Drosophila melanogaster: one gene and its partner. The protein of the gene in region 1 interacts with the protein of each later gene in a pairwise test. Each region holds a gene or a part of one and is shown on either strand. Other genes may lie near its edges.

Evidence for each region.
Region 2: the proteins of CG14969 (region 1) and Recs1 interact in a two-hybrid assay, tested with the Drosophila melanogaster proteins (one large-scale study listed by BioGRID).

The regions. Positions count from the first base shown.
Region 1 is NT_037436.4:3,332,350-3,336,829, reverse strand, and holds CG14969 (uncharacterized protein), read left to right. Parts: upstream 1-1,851; 5' UTR 1,852-2,063; intron 2,064-2,122; 5' UTR 2,123-2,272; coding exon 2,273-2,603; intron 2,604-2,658; coding exon 2,659-2,846; intron 2,847-2,904; coding exon 2,905-3,085; intron 3,086-3,137; coding exon 3,138-3,385; 3' UTR 3,386-3,711; downstream 3,712-4,480. Other genes in the region: Drsl6 (Drosomycin-like 6), read left to right, coding at 468-686; Drsl1 (Drosomycin-like 1), read left to right, coding at 1,042-1,251; CG14961 (uncharacterized protein), read right to left, coding at 3,888-4,480.
Region 2 is NT_033777.3:14,152,274-14,155,681, reverse strand, and holds Recs1 (Recs1), read left to right. Parts: upstream 1-1,852; 5' UTR 1,853-1,922; coding exon 1,923-2,717; 3' UTR 2,718-2,797; downstream 2,798-3,408. Other genes in the region: CG31533 (uncharacterized protein), read left to right, coding at 1-925; CG44215 (uncharacterized protein), read left to right, coding at 1,250-1,366; CG42500 (uncharacterized protein), read left to right, coding at 3,130-3,360.

The DNA of each region.
Region 1 (4,480 bases):
GGAATTTGAAAATTAAGTCATGGTATTTGAGGTTCGCGAAACATGGTCACACTTCTAGGTGCAGTTATCGATGCTTATATCGAATTTTGCGCTCTCCGTTGGAATTTAAACTTTATAGAATTGCATTCGAAAATATATGTGCTTTAGGCAATAAGCACAAAGTAGCAAATATCACTATCCTGTTGTTTTGGTTGTGATAATTAAGTGCATTACGCCATTTATTGTTTGCTTTTCCTTGAACCATTCATGGGACCTAGATTGAGAGACGTTCTTACAATTATATTGTGTGTATTGTATATTTATCCAGACAAAAGGTAGTATCAATAAATAAAATCGAACGACGCTGGCAGCGACATCGACTAGTCCAGCCCTATATAAGCTCGTCGAAAGCACTTGAAAACAAATTCGATCCGAATCTGAATTGATTAGTACATCAAAGAAAACAATCACCACGAAAACTACTGAAAATGATGCAAATCAAGTTCCTGTTCACCTTCCTCGCTCTGCTGATGATGGTCATCCTGGGCGCCAAGGAAGCCGATGCCGACTGCCTTTCCGGAAGGTACAGAGGTCCCTGTGCCGTCTGGGACAACGAGACATGCAGGCGGGTTTGCCGAGAGGAGGGACGAGGACGAGTGAGTGGTCACTGCAGTGCCAGGCTGCAATGCTGGTGCGAAGGATGCTGAATTTCTACCGAAATTGGACAACTTCTATAGACCCAGAATGATTATGTATCAATCATAAAATTCAATTCCCTAAACATTCACAATTATTTAAAATAAAATCAAGTCAAGAACCAATATTTATTGTTCAGATCAATGCATTGTTATATTCGGCACGTGGTGAAATTGTAAAGGCAGCCGAAAAGTCTGGGTAAATATTTTTATCTCCACGAGATAAATTTCACCACAGCGTCGTCGTACTGAGTGTAAAACTTACAGATCGGAACGTATTTAAGCGCTTATTCTGAGCTGAGAGCGATCAATTTCTTGAGGATTGCATTTCAACAATTACTAAGTTACCAGACCTCCTACCGAAACTATGGAAATCAAGTTCCTAATTGTCCTGTCCGCTGTCTTGATGATAATTTTCCTGGGAGCGGAAGAATCACATGCCGACTGCCTTTCCGGAAGATATAGGGGTTCCTGTGCTGTGTGGCACAGGAAGAAGTGCGTAGATATCTGCCAGAGGGAAGGGCGAACCAGTGGACACTGCAGCCCCAGTCTAAAATGCTGGTGCGAAGGATGCTAAAAAAAGATGTACATGTAAGAAGAGTCTATTCATGTGCATGGAGTAATAAATAGACAACCCTTTCTTATCTATGGATAAAAATTTTTATATATTTTACTGATCATACGGAACTCGATTGATAATGGAAAAACCCCAAGTTGGGGTTGTTTTGGGTCATTCATATCCAAAACGATGTATTTTAGCATTACTACTGCCCCGCTTTTTTTGCATCTATTTATGTAACACACTTAACTTCCTTTCATTGAAATATACTCATTGTGAAGGGTTGTTTACAGATTTTTCGCAAATAAATGATAAACAATGCTCAGAGTTTGATCAGCAGTTGCCTAAATGAAACGTGCAATTTTAAAGTAAACTTCGTGATCTATTTTTGATATGATACTTACAGCAGCTGATCTTCATAATGGGGAAAAGAGGAATTTGGTTAGGGAATTAAAATAAATCAATGACAATTGATTTTACAATTACAATTTCGGTGAGAAAACTGGCAATTACTGTAAAAGTTAATTTGAAAATTCGCGCCAACCTCTTAGCGTTGCCAGATGTTCCACGCTTTCATAGCGATTCCTCACTAAGAAAAGTCGAAGTGTCAAAGGCCCGATATTTTTGGACATCTAAATGATTGCTATTGTTTTGTTTATAAATTACACCAAATAATTGCTTCTATTGCAATTGGACAACAATTTGGTGTGCAGGTAACTGAATGCATGCAGAACTATTGATGGATGATGTCTCCAGCCGAAATACAATACAAAAATATATGATTTTATAAAAGTATTTGTTAAATTGTGATATTGTTTAGTGTGCAGAGGGTAAGAATGTGAGTTTCGTTAGTAATGCCAACAGCAACTCACCCGACACTCCTCTCCAGAAAGAATATATTTCATAGAAGAACTTGGGTGTGCGAAAAGGGAGCACCCGTATCAACAAACAGAAGCACCAGGGGATTCGCCGGCTTCTCGCCCTCCTGGTTTCCTCCTTCATCTCGTTCAAGTAGGCGAAGAGCAAAGCACACCAAAAGATGCGGAGTTACATTGCACTCTTGGGGCTTATCCTAACTCTAAGTGGACAGTTTAACATGCTGCTGGCCGGGAAGAAACATTCCTGCGAGAAATTGCTCGCCGATCTTGGCGATGCACAGAGCAAGTTCATCTACTGCGCCACCACAAAATCAGTGCCCGTGAATTTGTGTGAGGGCTGCGTCGATCTCTACCGCAATCTCACCAATGATTACGGAAACCTAATTGCGAACGCCAACTGTTCCAAGCGTTATCTGAACTCGGACAGGATCAATATAGTGGCTACCACCCAAGGAATCCTAACTAGCCTGTGGCAAAAGGCCAACTGCGAAAGTGTGCATCAGTACTTTGTTCATTTGGGAATCACTGATCTATTCCTACTTTCCAGATTGCTTCAGGGATAATTTTTGGATTGTATACAGCGATAACTCAACAAAGTTGCAAAATTGCTTAGAATCTGCTAGTTCGGATTTAGTTTGCTTCAAGTGCAAAAATGATTACGTGAGTCTAAATGATTTCTACCTTAGCATGGAAAAGAAAGTCGGTGGAAGTGTGTGCTTCGATCTGCAGGACAATGTAAGTTTAAAAATTTATATTTACATTTGCCTATTTTTACACCTTTACTTTTGCTTAGATGAACCGGACTCGTCTGAATTGGTCGAAAACGCTGAAATGCTGTCAACGCGAGGTGAAGCTGACCAATTTTCTCATCGCCGTTGGCGTAGTTGTCCTGCTGCCCATTTTCACCTTCTATATTACGGCAGTTGTAGTGACCAAGCGGCGGGAGGCCAATCATGGCTTGCTCAATGAGCAGGGTAGGAAAGATCGTCATTGGTTAAGCCCATATTCTGATTTTTGGCATTTTAGAACCTGAACTGGACGCGCCCTCCACGTCGACGCTTATCACGGCTGCCGTGCTGTCCACTTCAACAGAGGATCCTGTTGCAATCTCCGCCCGAACAGAAAAGATCGCCAATGTATTGATCGGTGCTGGAACACACCTGTTGGACGAGTCCAGTGATGAAGAACCTCCTAGGGGGAAAAAGGTTGCTCACAGTCCCGCATCCGACTACTCCAGTGACGATGAGCCTCTTGAAAAGCCCAAACGCGCGTAACAAAATCAAAAGCGTTCATTAGAGGAACCTTCGATATCAGCGTAAGAAGAATGTTTTTTAAATTTGAAGAAACTAGAGAAGCAAAGCTCAAAGCATTTCAAGGATTTTCGAATTTTATTATCTTCTATGCTTCTCATATATAACTATATATTGCCTTGAGCCTAACCAAAAACAAAACACTTATATAACAATTGTATAGCCATATACATATGTGATATATTATATATATATACATGGCAAATCAAGACGAGAAAATCATTTTTAGCATTATATATGCACTTTATTGTTGGCAAGTAAAACTGCACTTAAGCCTACGCGTTTATAACAAATTAATGCGAAAGAAGATCAGGGTCATGTCATCATGGAAAGGGCCCTTCCACCGGATTTGCGTACATGATAAGTTTAGCATCTAGCCTAACACTAAGATAACGATTAGCAGAGGAAGTGCATTGGCCGGGTTCGTTCGTTGGTCGACTTCGGATCCTTCCCTAATCCTAATTCCTTATCCGTATAGATTGCCATGGGCGGACGAGGTCTGGAAATGGACCAAACTCCCGTGGGTCTGCAGCGCCGGTTGGTAGTAGGCCTGGTGGTAGTGCGAGGGCGGAGCCGGCTCGTTCACCTGAATCTGATGGTAGTTGGTGAAGGGCTCGTGCTCGACCACTTCGCGTACCGTCTGGAATGGATGATTGACAACGATGCGGCGCTTGTGGAAGGTCTCGCTGGTGGCGGAGGCATCTGTTGGCGCGGCTGTTGCTGCGATGACCCTCTCGTTGGGTTTCAGATGGCCAGCGGCTCCATTAAGCGAGACGTCCACATCCGGCTGGGGCTTCGATTGGGACGGAGTAGCCTGGGTGGCGGATACCTCGGAACTGGGTGCTTCCACCAGGCGCTGGGACTTCTGCTGCCGCAGCTCTGCTCTCTGCTGTCCCCTGTCGCAGTCCGGAGCAATAGTGGTGGCCACCACTGCAGACTTCTCCTGGTCACTGGCTATCTGGATTTGGATGTGGGTGTTTTGCTGCTCCTTCTTTGGCTCCTGCTTCTGCTCCTCTGGTTTGGGTGCCTCAACCAGCCGCGAGGACTGGCTCTCCGTAC
Region 2 (3,408 bases), on another chromosome or scaffold:
CCATGGTTGGAACTGGACAAAAAGTTGCGAGGCACGGAAGAATGGCTGGCGGCCAGGTGCCATCCTACGATCCTCTGGCCATGTGATGCGTCACTTCCTGATGCGAAGTAGAGATCCGAATATGTGCGGCAAGGTAACAGCTGATTACGAGGAACAGAAACGATTTGGCCATCCCGTGCTCAATATTTGCAAGCGAAATGGTAATATATTCGTAACCCTTCGTCCACTGCCCACTTTGGGTATGAAACAGAAACCCATAACGTTCCGGATCGTCAAGAGCGATATGGCGGTGGCACTGCGCCAGATCAAGCGTGCTCTCAAGGATCAGGGCTTCGAGAAGTGCAAGTGCCACCAGTCCCTGATGATGTGCACCTGTCGCGATGCCTTGGATAAATTTCACCTGAATAAGGCTCTCAAGAAAGAGTGCCAGAAGCGTTTTATAGAGCCATGTCCCGACCACTTGGTGCTTACCGACACAAGTGAGAGCGATTTGGAGTTCGATCTGGATGTGACTCCGCCGGCGGGAACTCGTAGACCGAAGCGCAAAGCCCTTAGGAACGTGGTGAATCATAGCACCCAGACTGCAATGAAGGAGCCACCAGTTATACCGCCTCCATATCCAGTAGCCCACAATCACTTCTATAGGGCCTACGATTGCGCAGCAGGAGATCGGTATATGGGCACAGCCTTCGGCGATAATATAGAGACCGTTTTCGAGGATGGAGTCTTTGGATACCGGGGTGGTGGCCAGCATGGAAAGCCCGTAATCTGGCGACACCCGAAGGTGTGGGGCAAGAAGGCCCAGGCACCACTCCCGATTGGAACCGCTAGGAACGCCATCGATCCTTACCGGTATACCAAAAATGTTTGGAAAGAACTGCCGCGAAAGATAATACAAAAAATGAGAGCAAAATCAAGGAAATAATTGTATTCTTTTATTAAAAGTCAAAATGTAATAAGCGTGTTTTATTTCTCTTAAGCTACAATGGCAGCCGTTTGGAATTATAGGAATTAGTATAATAGTATTATAAATAATTTTATTTTATATTAGGGAGCACATTTTTTGTGATTGTTAATGACGCAATCCAACTTGTTTTCAAAGTATTGCTAAAATTCTATTAATACGAGCATAAGAATTTGATTAAATATGCTAATTATATAGAAATTATAAACTGGTCTCAATCGACTGCAAACGGTAGTATAAAAGCGCCATGCCAACTGTTAGACTGTATTCATTAAAGTTACCAAAATGAAGATCTTCGCTCTGTGCGCCTTTTTGCTCCTCATCCTGGCTGCCGTCCAGGCCAATAGTTCTCCTGAGACCAGTGCGATCTCTGAAGGGAACCTTAAGAAAACTGCTGGATAATTTATAATTTCACGAAAGCTACTTGAATATTGGAATAAATATTCTATTTAGCAGCAGAATTTGTTGTATTTATTTGTATGCCCTTGCAGAGGGTATAATGATTTCAGACAGAAGTTTGCAACGCACTAAGGGGTACATTTGCAACCATTTAAAATATGTATAAATAATAAGTATTAACAGCAGAGTGTATATAGCCATATAGTCATTTAGTTATCCGTAAGTCCGTTTTTGCTCAAATTAGTCACATATTTAAATCTTTACATAAAATTGTTGTTTGAATTTAATAAATACGCATTACTGCAAATGTATATAAGACGGAAGACAGTATTGGATATATATTATTATAATATTATAATATTGTGAATTTTCGAATTCTAAAGAAATGAAGTTAAAGTTATGTTTATGATAGTTACTAATTATGAAAAGAAGATTTATAGTTTCTAAGAAGTAAATTCCATTTAACGTTGACTCTTCTGTCATACTATACTTCAATTTCCGACAAAGGTTATTAAATTAAGAATTAGCAGTTACTTGAAAGTTGTGTTCGAAGGACACAATGCTGGATATTTTACAAGAACCAGTACATCAGTATGGAAATCGGAGCCACCAGGCGGAGTGTATTCCGCTGGGAAGATATACAGCTTACGGATCGGAAATCGGACAGGATGATCCAGACAAGGGCTTGGGATTCTGCAGCGCCAGCATCCGGCGAGGATTCATCCGGAAGGTGTACCTCATCCTGTTGGCCCAACTGATCACTTCCCTGGTGGTTATAGTTTCACTTACTGCTGATAAACGGGTGCGTCTGATGGTGGCAGAAAGCACCTGGATATTTGTGGTGGCCATACTAATAGTGGTCTTCTCTCTGGTGGCTCTGGGCTGCAATGAGGATCTGCGTCGTCAGACCCCAGCTAACTTCATCTTCCTATCTGCCTTCACGATAGCCGAGTCCTTTCTGCTGGGCGTGGCAGCCTGTCGTTATGCCCCAATGGAGATTTTCATGGCCGTGCTAATCACGGCGTCAGTTTGCCTTGGACTCACCCTTTTTGCTCTGCAGACGCGTTACGACTTTACCGTCATGGGTGGCCTCCTGGTGAGCTGCCTGATAATACTGCTCTTCTTTGGAATTGTGACCATCTTCGTGGGCGGACATATGGTCACCACCATATATGCCTCATTGAGCGCTCTGCTCTTCTCCGTTTATTTAGTTTACGATACACAATTGATGATGGGAGGCAAGCATAGGTACTCCATTAGTCCCGAGGAGTACATATTCGCTGCCCTAAATATTTACATGGATGTAATGAACATATTCCTGGACATTTTGCAATTAATCGGAGGATCCGATTAGTTGCATGAAATCTCACAAACACACAGATTATTTTACATCTGCAATTCGACGTCGAGTATTAATAAATCAAATTCAGCAGCAAGCCTATTTTACATTTACTTAAAAGCCTAAATATAGGCTTTAAAAATTTGGATATTTTTTATACAAAGCACAGTTGCCATAAATAATATAATTAAACTTGTTTGCACAAACAAATGCAGAAATAACAAGAATGACCGGTATTCAATGATCGCACCTGTTCATAATCGCTAATTAACGGGCAACCTATATATTGAAATACATTTCGTATAATTTAGTGTTTTGTGACCCAAAAAATAACGAAAAATTATAAAAAAAAAGATAACTGTAAACGGTTACGATATTAGGTATATAAGATCTTCCAGCACCTCAAAGTGTATCAAATTTTGAAACGATGAAGTTCTTTGCTCTGTGTGCCTTCCTCCTCATTGCCCTGGCTACCGTCCAGGCAACTCCCGGTGATCTGCGCCATGTTCCTGTAGGACACGGAGGACACCCAGTCAATGCTGGCCACGGACCTGTGGGACACGCTGGTCCTGTTGGACACGGTCCAGTTGTAGGCCATGGTCCAGTTGTAGGCCATGGTCCAGTTGTGGGACATGGTGTTCATGGTCATTCTGGCTGAAAACTTATCTGAATCCTACAAGGAGCGCAATGCAGACCTTGATGGAAA